Canis lupus familiaris: one gene and its partner. The protein of the gene in region 2 purifies or fractionates together with the protein of the main gene of each other region. This does not show direct contact. Links are inferred from orthologs where the notes say so. Each region holds a gene or a part of one and is shown on either strand. Other genes may lie near its edges.

The links. Proteins that work in one complex are often made in the same cells at the same time.
Region 1: the proteins of CAPZA1 (region 2) and TNKS1BP1 purify together in Homo sapiens (affinity purification with mass spectrometry; 3 studies listed by BioGRID and IntAct, with this or other methods). This does not show direct contact. The link is inferred for Canis lupus familiaris from reciprocal best matches to the Homo sapiens genes CAPZA1 and TNKS1BP1.

The regions. Positions count from the first base shown.
Region 1 is NC_049239.1:39,279,478-39,284,856, reverse strand, and holds the start of TNKS1BP1 (182 kDa tankyrase-1-binding protein), read right to left. Parts: upstream 3,491-5,379; 5' UTR 3,385-3,490; intron 911-3,384; exon of another isoform or gene 750-910; intron 425-749; 5' UTR 410-424; coding exon 316-409; intron 1-315. Other genes in the region: FACT complex subunit SSRP1, read right to left, coding at 4,944-5,015, 5,267-5,379.
Region 2 is NC_049238.1:63,624,477-63,630,067, reverse strand, and holds the end of CAPZA1 (F-actin-capping protein subunit alpha-1), read left to right. Parts: intron 1-232; coding exon 233-304; intron 305-2,412; coding exon 2,413-2,475; intron 2,476-2,849; coding exon 2,850-2,990; 3' UTR 2,991-4,414; downstream 4,415-5,591. UniProt on the Homo sapiens protein: F-actin-capping proteins bind in a Ca(2+)-independent manner to the fast growing ends of actin filaments (barbed end) thereby blocking the exchange of subunits at these ends.

The DNA of each region.
Region 1 (5,379 bases), on a different chromosome or scaffold from region 2:
CCACCAGGTGTATGCCATTTCTCCCCTAGACCTCAGCGTCCTCCCCTGCACGCCACACGGTTAACCCCAGGGTTGGGGTTAACCCGCTTCACCTGGAAGGTCAATCCACCCTCATGTGCTGGGGATGGAGGTTCTCGAACACTTCTGAACGCTCTCCACGGGAGCAGACAACCTTCAGAACTCATCCTGCACATCCCCAGCAGCGTACCTCCTGCCCTCACTCCCCCACCCCCTCCAAGACAGAGCAGGGGGTTCGGCTGCTGCCCCTCCCACTCTCCTCCCAGCCACCCTGCTCCACCCTGCACCCATAGGTACCTGGCTCGGAGCCAGCAGATCCCAGCTCCTCCTCCGTCTCCCGGGGCGGTGGGGAAGCCATGGCAGTGCCTTCCCTGAGAGCGGACACTTTCATCACAGGCGGCAGACCCTGCATGAAGAGTTGGAGAGCAGAGGGCTGTGAGCCGGGGGGCTGGAGACCCAGGAAAAGAGGGAGGGAGACTGAGAAGGCAGAGGGGCTGGGCACTGGCAGTAGGCGTAGCTGACACAAGTCTCCTACTTCCAGCAGAGGCAGAGTGTGGGACAGGAAGCAGGAACTTCGGAGGGGGGTTGGGGAGGTCAAGAGCGGTCCCCTACAGCTGTAACCTCCGCTCTTCCCAGACCACTCTCTAAACTCCGGGCTCCTCACCCTAAAGTCCCGGAGCGGCAGGGACCCGCTGCTCCCAGGGGCAAGCTCTCCAAGACCCCCTACTTACCGTTCCCAGGGCACCCCTTGGGGCCGGCGGCCCAGCCTGAGACGTCTACTCAGGGGCAGAGCAAGAGGGCCGCGAGCTCTGAGGTCCCTCTGTGAATCACCTCATGGGAGACGGGAAAAACCCGCTCCTCCCCAACCTGGGGCTCCGCCCCGCCGCCTGCCTCCCCCTTCCCGCTCTCCCTCCTTCCCCCCTCCCCCTGCAGCTGGGAGTGGTTCCCTCTCCCCGCTCAGCCCCCCCCTTTCTCCTTCCACATCCCAGCCCCACTCCCGCCTCCCTCCGAGCCGTCTCATCCAAACACGGAAAAATAAGGAATAAAAAGTAAACATCTGGAATACATTTTTTTTTCTTTAATTTCTCAATCGCTTTGGCTTCAGCTTGGAATTTGATGAGGTAAAGCCAGGGCCTAGTCCTGTTGCCATAGCAATGGCCTCCCACTGGATTTCCAGAGCCTCGCCAAGAGGAAGGAGGAGCCGGCCCAGGCCTGGGCTGGGAGAATGGGACAGGACTTGAGAACATCCGGGGGGTGGGGTGGCTTGGGGGAAATAACTCCCCGGGGTTCCCCCTTCTAGGCAGTCAGGGTGGGAGAGCCTATGAAATGGGGATATTGGGCATCACTCAGCAGCCCAGGGTCGGTCCCAGGGATTTTGAGGAGGGGGAGCCAAAGAAATTTTAAACCAAGCAACACAGCCCTATGGCAGAGACCGAATGATGCCCCTCCTCTAAGCCTCAAGCAGGAGCTTTGGGGTCTGACACATCAGGATTCAAATGCTGAGTGGCTCTACCACTTCTTTAGCTGTGTGACCTTAGGCACACTGCTTACTTCTCGATGGCTCAGTTTCCCTATGTGAAACACAGCTTTACCTGAGACTGGCGGGAGGCCTATGTGAGAGTGCACGCCTAACCCATAAAAAGTATCCAGCAAATATTGGCCAGCATTAGTAGGATTCCATGCAGGGTCACCAATGAGCTAAGATCCTTGGTAACTAACTGCCTCTTCCTCTCCCCAGGCCACAGGCTGCCAGCACTCCAAACCACTCCTCCACTCCCGCGGGCCCATCTTGTCACCTGCTCCTCAGACACCCCACCACCTCCTCAGTTCCCATTCTAGCTCCATCCCACCCACAAGACCCCCCAGGCTCCAGAGCCCTACCCCTCTCATTCCTAAGGCAGGAGGAGGCTTCCCATCACCGGGCATGCCCGCAGCCCTGAGGACAGCCCAACCCTCTCCCGCCTGCAAGGGGCACTGCTTTCCTCACCACCCACTCCAGCTGGCCTGGGGGAGACAGCGCCAAATCCTGAGAGGAGACCCCTGGGGCCCAGCCTTGGCAGAACCCAACCACCCCTCACTTTTGCCCCTGCCCCAGCTGGCTCCTAAGATGGGAGAAAACACGACAAGGGTAAAGACAAACCCAGGACCGTCAATCCCTTGGTCAGCCAACTACAAGGGAGCAGCGCACGCGGTGGGTGGGTGATAACTGTGCAGAGCCAGTCCGAGTGTGCATGGGGGAGGGGCGCACGACAGGGGGAAAAAAAATTTAAAAACACACAAGATTGTTTCCTTGTCCTTGAACATTATTAAAAGGGACATGGTGTGGGTGGTTAGAAATGGGGACAGATTGGCCCAGAACCATAAAACCCTTTCACTTGGGGGGCCTGATGGGCACCTCTGCAGTAGGAGGGGCTGCAGCAATGAAGGGGGGGGTTCGGCTTCCCCACCTGAGGGCCACAGAAGCTCAGAGGGCCCAGCCAGGAAACCCAGGTGACCAAGGCCGTAGCCAAAAGCTGTAGAACGGCAGCAGCACTGAGCACTCCTGAGCCCCAACAGTCAGCGGGGGACCAGCCGACCCCCGGGCGCAAAGGCCACCAGGGGGGCTGGGGAGAGGCTGGGCAGCTCCAGCCCGGGGAGGCAGCGGCCCAGCGCGCCCTCAGCGCCAGCGGGGTCGCCCCTACGGACCCTGGGATCTCCGGCCGGATCCGGGGCCAGAGAGGTCGGCAGGGACAGCACGGAAACCACCGGAGGAGGGAGGGCAACGGGAAGACGGAACAGCCCGGGGCGAGGGGCCGTCTGGAGGGGCCCAGTGGGGAGCCCTGGACACAGAGGGGACGCCGGCCGCCGAGGAGGAGGAGGAGGAGGAGGAGGAGGAGGGGAGAGGAGGAGGAGGGGGCGGCGGCAGAAGCGGAGGACCGGTGCGCTGGCTGAGCAGCCGGCGAACAGACGAGGGACTGGGGACGCGGGCCGGGTGGGGGCGGACTGGGGTGGCTGGGGGCGTGCCGCGGGAGCCGGGGAGGGGGCGGGGGTCCCTCCAGCAGCTCCGCCCGCCCCCGGCCCCGCCTCAAGCCCTCGCCCCCTCCCCCTCCCCCCTTTCTTCTAGCTCGGCCAGCACGAGCTCCAGACCCTGCACCCACCGCCCCCGGGCGCACGCGCCCGCTCCCCCGCGCCCCCCGCGCCCCCCGCGCCCCCCGCGCCCCCGGCCCCTGCAAACTTTCCCGCTGACCCCCGCCCCCCGCCCCCCGCCACCACCTCCACGACCCGAGGTCCCGGCAGGAAAGCGCCCACTCCCTCCATGCCTCTCCCCCGCCCCCATCCCGGACCCCGCCCCCTCCCTCGCCCTCCTGCCCGCCCCCGCGCACTCACGCGCTCCCCGGGGATCCGGCTCCGCGCGGCTCGGGCTCGGCGCCCCGACGCCAGTCCTCGCCGCCGCCGCCGCCGCCGTCACCGCGGGACCAAGCCTGAGCGAGCCCCGGCGGGGCCCCGCCCCTGGCTCCGCCCAGGGCCCCGCCCCCAGCGCGCCTCGTGAATATTCATGAGCCGGTGGGACCCGGGAGCGGGAAGCCCAGGCCGGGCACGCCGAGCCGTATGCAAATGAGCGGCAGCCCCGGCGCTCAATTATTTATGAGTCTTGCAAATAAGGGGCCTGCCCCGGGCTCGGACCCCGGCGAAACTGACGCAACTCGGCGGCTGGGAGCGCTTGGGCGAGATGGCCACCGAGACGGCTGCCTAGAGAGGCGGCCTGAGGGCGGCCGGCTCCGGCTCGGGCTCGGGCTCGTGCTCGGGCTCCGCGGGCCGCGGGCCCTGATTGCAGCACCATAGAGTCCCGGCGAGAAAGAAGGTCGCCGCTGGCGGACCGGAGGGGCTTCCTGCGGCGAACACCTGAGAACGCGCGCAACGTGGCCGCTCCACGTGTACCGGTCGAGGCGTGGAGCCGCCGTGGGGGCGGCCGCGGGCCCCGGCTCTCCAGCCGGCCCTCGCTTATGTGCTCTTATCCCCCTTCCCGGACGGAAGCTCCGCGACCGCCCCACCAGAACAAAAGCTGCACCCGCGCTGCACACCTCGGCTGCACCCTGACCCCCACCCCCACCACTCGCCGTCCACCGCCCTCCGCTCTCCGCTCTCGGGTTTCCGTCGCCCCCGCTGCGCGCAGCCCGGTCAATCCTTATTCCATTATCTAAAGCCATGGAAGACCCTTGACTCGGGTGATGAAGGACTGAGCCAGAGGCTGCCTCCCCTCAGCGGGGCTAATGGAGTGAAACTGTGAGAGTGACTTCCTAATCAGATCAGCTCTGGTTTCTAGACTCTCAGGTGGCCCATCCCCGCAGGAGAGAGTGAAAACCAATGCCCGTCCAACCGGGAACAGAACAGGATGTACCTGGAGGCTTGCTTCCCGGCTGGCCAGCAGGGCCCGGCCCAATCACAACAGTACGGCAACCACCACCCCCGGACCACGGGCGCCTGTGTACAGCAGCAGGGCTACAGAGAAGGCATTAGCACATGGTTTCCAAAGTCAGTTCCCTTTATTAAATGTTGATTTTTCACAGACCAGAAATACAAAATAAAAGTAGAAATAGGCCCCGTTAGGAGCTATGGCCTGCCCTCACCTGACCCCTGCTGCAGCAACCTGAACAGGAGAAGCAGCAGCCGTATCCCTAAGGTCGCAGGAGCAGGCTCAGGATTCCACCCTGCACTGCACTGCCCCACCCAATCTCTCCCCAAGTTATCAAGAGCCATCCTTGAGAAGCAGTAGAGAGGAGGACACCTCCCCTGCTGCCCCGGTGAAGTGCGTGTCACCAGGAGAGCTTGTCAAGATGGCACAAAATCCAAGGGCTGCATTTCATGAGAAACTGGTACCAAAACACGGGTGGAGAGACTGCAGGTTGTGACAGGGCAAGCCCAAGGAGAGAGAATTTTCTTCCTCTCTACTCATCAGATCCTGATGCCGAGTCTTCTGAGCTGGGGGGGGTGCTGGCCAGCTCCTCTTCTTCAGAGTCCTGAAAATCAAAGGTCTCTTAAGGGAAAGGTTTAGAGTCCTGGTTGCCCTCCCAGGGAGCCACTTTTCAGTGGTGAAGGATCCCTAATTCCCTACCCACCCCCAACCCCCCACTGCAGCACTCGCCTTCAGAACCTGAGAACTGCACCTTTCCACTCCAACTCACTACTCTCACAGACCTACCACAGCCCCTGGCCCTCAGACATCCACCCCTCTGCCTCAAGGCCCCTCACCCCTAAACTCTTGCCGCACCTCACTCCGCCTTCTCTTCTTTTTGCTCTTGTTCTCTCCGGAAGAACTCTCATCACTGGACACAAACTCTTTGCTCTTGAAGCTCTCACTTAGCTGCCTTGATGAGGACTTGG
Region 2 (5,591 bases):
ATACTTTGTTGAACTAACTTATTAATCGGTTTCCCCTGCTAAGAAAAGCGAGAATTCTTAAAATTTAAAGTGTTCTGTGAACTTAACCACCATTTTAAGTTACAATTGTTCATATTAATATTTTGTTCAGAGTTAGTAAAGATTGAGGATGACTTAAGGCATGGATTTGTACCTTAGCAATGGGTTTCCTTATGAGCTACACATAAACTTGCTCAACCACTGTCTCACACAGGTTCACTATTATGAAGATGGCAATGTTCAGTTGGTTAGTCATAAAGATGTACAGGACTCAGTAACTGTTTCGGTGAGTGTGGAATATTTAATATCTCATTTGTGCCTTGTTTTTCTTTGAAAAATTTGATTTTGATCCTGAGTATTGATTCTGTCTCTAGAAATTCAGTTTGTTTTCAGTGCTTTGATTTTGGCAGTTGATAAAAGTATGCAATCAACTGGCTATAATTAGTTCATGGTGTTTGACTAAATATAATAAATAATTATGTAATATAACATAATGTGGGGCACCTGGGTGGCTCAGTCAGTTAAGCATCTGCCTTCAGCTCAGGTCATGATCCCAGGAGCCTGGGATTGAGTCCTGCATTGGACTCCCTGCTCAGTGGGGAGCCCGTTTCTCCCACTCCCTCTGCCCCTCCCCCTGCTTGTGCTTTCTCTGTCTCTTTCTCTGTGTCAAATAAAAAAATACAATCTTTTAAAATACATATATATGTGTATATATATAACATAAAGTAACATAGCATGATATATTGACAAATAGTGATAATAGCTTTAGAGAATCCAAACTTCTTTCTCTCTTTCTCAATTGTGGATTTGCTCAAGGACAGCAAAATCTTCAATCAGTAAATACCAGAAAGAAGGAGTTTTCCAACAAATCCTGTAGAGCTGCATTCGTTTCACTAAAGAAACTGAACATTTTTAGGAATATCCAATTTAAAAGTATTGTGCCTAATTTTTTTTTTTTTTTTACATTCGCAGTACTTCTTTATATTGTAGAAGTTATTGAGCACCTTCAAATAGGTATTGTTTGGGGTGCTTGGCTGTCTCAGTTGGTAGAGCATGTGACTCTTGATCTCAGGGTCATGAGTTCAAGCCCCATGTTGGTTGCAGAGTTTATATTTTGGGAAAGAAAATCTTAAAAAAAAAAAAAAAAAGGACACCTGGATGGCTCAGTTAGTTAAGCATCCAACTCTTGATTTAGGCTCAGGTCGTGATCTCAGGGTTGTGAGATCAAGCCCCACGTTGAGCTCTGCACTCTGTGCCCCACCCCCACCCTACTGCCAACCAGGAACATGCTCTTTTTCTCTCTAAAATAAATCTTTAAAAAATAAAATAAAAGATAATTAAGAAAAACAAAATAACCAGATAGCTTTTGTTTATGTATATCTACAATATTTACCTTATTAGGCGTTAAAACTGAGAAATGTTAAATGTATTTATTAATTTAAAAATACAATAACAAACCCATTACTTTTTAACCTAAATAACATTTTCATGAACAACAACCATATTTTCCAAACCAAAAAAAAATTATGCAAAGAATGGCAGTGGTTGACATTTTTACAAATTGTATAGTGTCTGACTAAATAAAAGACCACTGGATTCTCATATGTGCCCACACATTCCATTAGCTGTCAGAGTGATGAAGCCATCGCACATGTAGCTTCTGAGACCTGCATTATGCACACTTGAGAAGGAGAGTGGAAAAGCAAATGACTTGTCTTAGTGTTGTTGTAAAAACAAAAGATGGGTTTGACTATTTGAAAGAATATGGGGACTGCTGCTTTAGGTAGAAAATCTTACCTTTTACCTTTAATTGTGTTCTACTTTAATGATGAAAGGAAGAGAGAGAATGAAACCAAATAAACCAAAGTGAAAAGGATATGTTCAGTTAATATTGTACCTGAGTCACATAAAGCAAAATGTGATGGTTGGCTTAACATAAGTAGCAAATAGAAGAGTATATAAGTTTAACATATATGGCTAATAGCGGTGAGGGCATTGTTTATATCATCTGAAAGCAGAGATATTTTCAAGGCATATACATTTCAAGATATTGTGATGATGTCTTTTTGGGCATACCATGGTAGATGGAAAGAACATGGGGTCTCCTGGCAAAGACTGGGATTCAGACCCCATCTTTATCTTTCAAGAGCTGTATAATTTTGGTCTAGTCACAAGGATTCTGTTTTCTTATCTTCAAAGTGGAGGTGATGCTAATAACAGGTCTACTTCACAGAGTTTTTCTAAGAATCAAAAAAGATAACATGCAAGGGAGCACTTGACAACTATAAATTGTTATACAAATATTCAGATTTCTTTAAGATGGTCTTTTCAGTATCTTTTTATTCACTCCTTATCCTTTTTAAAAAATTCCTATTTCCCCCCTTCCTCCATTAGAATGAAGTCCAGACTGCCAAGGAATTTATTAAAATCATAGAGCATGCAGAAAATGAGTATCAGGTAAGATCTGGAACTAATTTTTCTAGATCTTTAGTACCTTATTTTGCTGTTAACACATTTCGTTAGACTTCTCTTTGTCCTTTTAACATAAATATACGTGTTACTCAGTGTTAGTAAGTGTGGAGACTATAGACCTTGCAATTTGGCATTATGCTTACAAAGTTTCAACATTGGAAGGGATTATAGATCTAGTTTTAGAAATACTGTAAGTGGGCTTCTTAACTCACTTCAGAAATGGGAGAGGAGCTTACTAGGAATAGTACATCCTGTCTATCTTTACAAGACTCAGGCATGTCCTTTGACTACAGAGTTACTTTCCTAATCACAACCATCCTTTTCTGTTCAAGCAACTTATCTTCAATTATCTGTTGCAGACAGCAATTAGTGAGAACTATCAAACCATGTCAGACACCACATTCAAGGCCTTGCGCCGGCAGCTTCCAGTTACCCGCACCAAAATCGACTGGAACAAGATACTCAGCTACAAGATTGGCAAAGAAATGCAGAATGCTTAAAAGCTGAATGTAGGATTCTTCAGTACATGGAAAGAAAGAATTCAACATGCGGTCATATGATAAATAAGTGATTTATAAACAAGAGTGATATTTTGCTAGGGCTTTCAGAGTTAACAGGTTTTCTAGCCTCATGGAATACTGTTGAACCGATAGCATTGTCTTGATTCTTTTGTGTTCTCTGCCTTGTAATTTTTTGTTTTCACTCTATCTACTTGTAAATTTTTTCTTTTTTTAATTCTGCCACATTTAATGATGGAGAGAGAGACAGGCAGACAGACCTATCCTGGAGTCATTTTACTGTTTAGAAAATTTTCCTAGCCATGAAGCCCTGTTACTGATATAGACAGGTAATATGCTCAGTACTTTTCTACCGCTATCCTTCAAAACACTTCTGGTACTTCAGCGGTTTTTACTGATCCACCAACAACAGCTAAAGAGGCTATGCTGCAAACTAGCTGAATGGAAGACACACTCATCCTTCTCCCTCTGACTGCTTTGATCATCATTTATAACATCTCATAATTGTAGTTTTGAAAGTTTAGATTGGGCTTTTCAGGTCCTTTTGTGAGGGCAAAGGAAGTTTTCTGGAAATTCCATTATAGCCAACTTCTCTGGGGAAGTTGTTTTTAAATCCAAAGACTTGAACCACATTCCCTGCACATGAACATGTTTGCTTTTTTCTCTTCCCTCATTGTCTCCTTCCCATCTAATATCATTATAGTTAGAGACATCTGCATTTTTAGAAGAGTTTTACCTGTTTATTATTATTTTGTATTATTCAAAAACTGCTGACCTACTAGGGGTGTAGTAGAGTATAAAACTTAAAAAATGCAGATGTTGAAGGAATACTAGGTATCTTGTGCTTTAATACTTTGTGGCAGGATTATACTATAAGCAGATGAGTCAAACAACTATGTAAATCACAAACAAAAAAACTAAAAATGAACCAAAGTGAAAAGGATATGTTCCAGGCAGTATCTTTCTATTGTAACCTGTTATTTAAGGGAATACTAGTGATTCGTTCTAAATAGGATGTAAAACTTGTTCCAAATTACTCCTCAGTCCTGCCTGCCAAGAGCTCAAATGTAACTGTGATATAGCAACCCTTCCCAGGTGTATTGGCAGGTAAATGTGTGATCTCAGAATACACAGGTGACATAGATATGATATGACAACTGGTAATGGTGGATTCATTTACATTGTTTACACTTCTATGACCAGGCCTTAAGGGAAGGTCAGTTTTTAAAAAACCAAGTAGTGTCTTCCTACCTATCTCCAAATAAATGTCAAAAAAGAAGGGTGTTTGTGCTTCAGCTTTGTTTTTGCTCAGTAATACAGTCAAGCAAGTTTGTTTCCAAGTGACCTGTTGAGCTGTGTAAGCTTTTTTGTTTATTTCAAATAAAATATATTTGTATTATGTGTCATTCATACTATATCCATTCATACCACACTATCCTCTGTATCAGGTAGTCCAATAGAAATATACCTGTTTTGTTCTTAAATTGTCTGAGTCTCTCCTTTTCAATCCATCTCTTCAGTTTTTGTTCTCAAGGTAAGATAGAATTGTGTGCAGTCCTATTTGATGAGGATGTTCAGGGTTTCTTAAATTGGTTCCTACCTATTACAGATTCGGTGATTATCCAAAGACTTGGAAAGAACAGCTTTTTTGTTTGTTTTTAAGTTTCAGCATTGTCTCTATGGATAATACTGTTCTTCACCTAAAGGCTATGGATGAATCAGAGGGTTTGTTGTGTGTGTTTTTGGTTTTGGTTTTTTTTTTAAGATTTTATTTTTAAGTAATCTAATCTCCACTCCCAACATGGGGCTCAGACTCACAACCCTGAGTTCAAGAGCTGCATGCTCTATTGATTGAGCCAGCCAAGCACCCCAAAGTTTTTGTTTTGGTTATCCATTTCTAGTTATCTTCTGTGTTTGTCATTGAGAAAGCAAGGCCCAAATATGGCTGTAATCACTAGGAAGTAGCAATGAAAGAATCCCTGTACCTTGAACTTGGATGAGATTTTACACTGACTTAACCTCTAAATGCAGCTTTCCTTCCAAATCTGACTTAGCTACAGACATGAGAGAAAGGCTTTTATCCTGGTTCCTGAGAGAACCAGAGGAGTTTCAGTGATTCACATTCCATCTGAGGCCAGTTCAAATTCCCCACCTTTTGGGGGAACATTTGTTGTACTATACTCTGTACTTGTAGTGCAAACAGAATCAAATCTTCTTGCCTTTGCCTTTAACTTATTAACTCGGTCAGCCTGTCCCCAGCCTATCCCATTTCCCTAGCCCATATAGACTTTTGTAAAAACTCTTAATCACTTGGCCATCTAAAGCCCTTGGTTATTTGTATAATTGGGAGGAGGTCAGCCCTCTTTACCAAGTCCTGCAGAGATCTGCCTTCCTTAACCTAACCTCCTTCAGTGGAATATTTGCTTGAATTGTATATTTTATCATGCACTACTCCAATCAGCCTGTGAGATCTTAGGGCAGAGGTTTCTCAGCCAGATGGAAAGCAGTTTTCTGTGAGGCCTCACTCGTATATTTGGATTTGAAATTACACTGCTAAAAACCAATGTTTCATCTGAGCCTGGG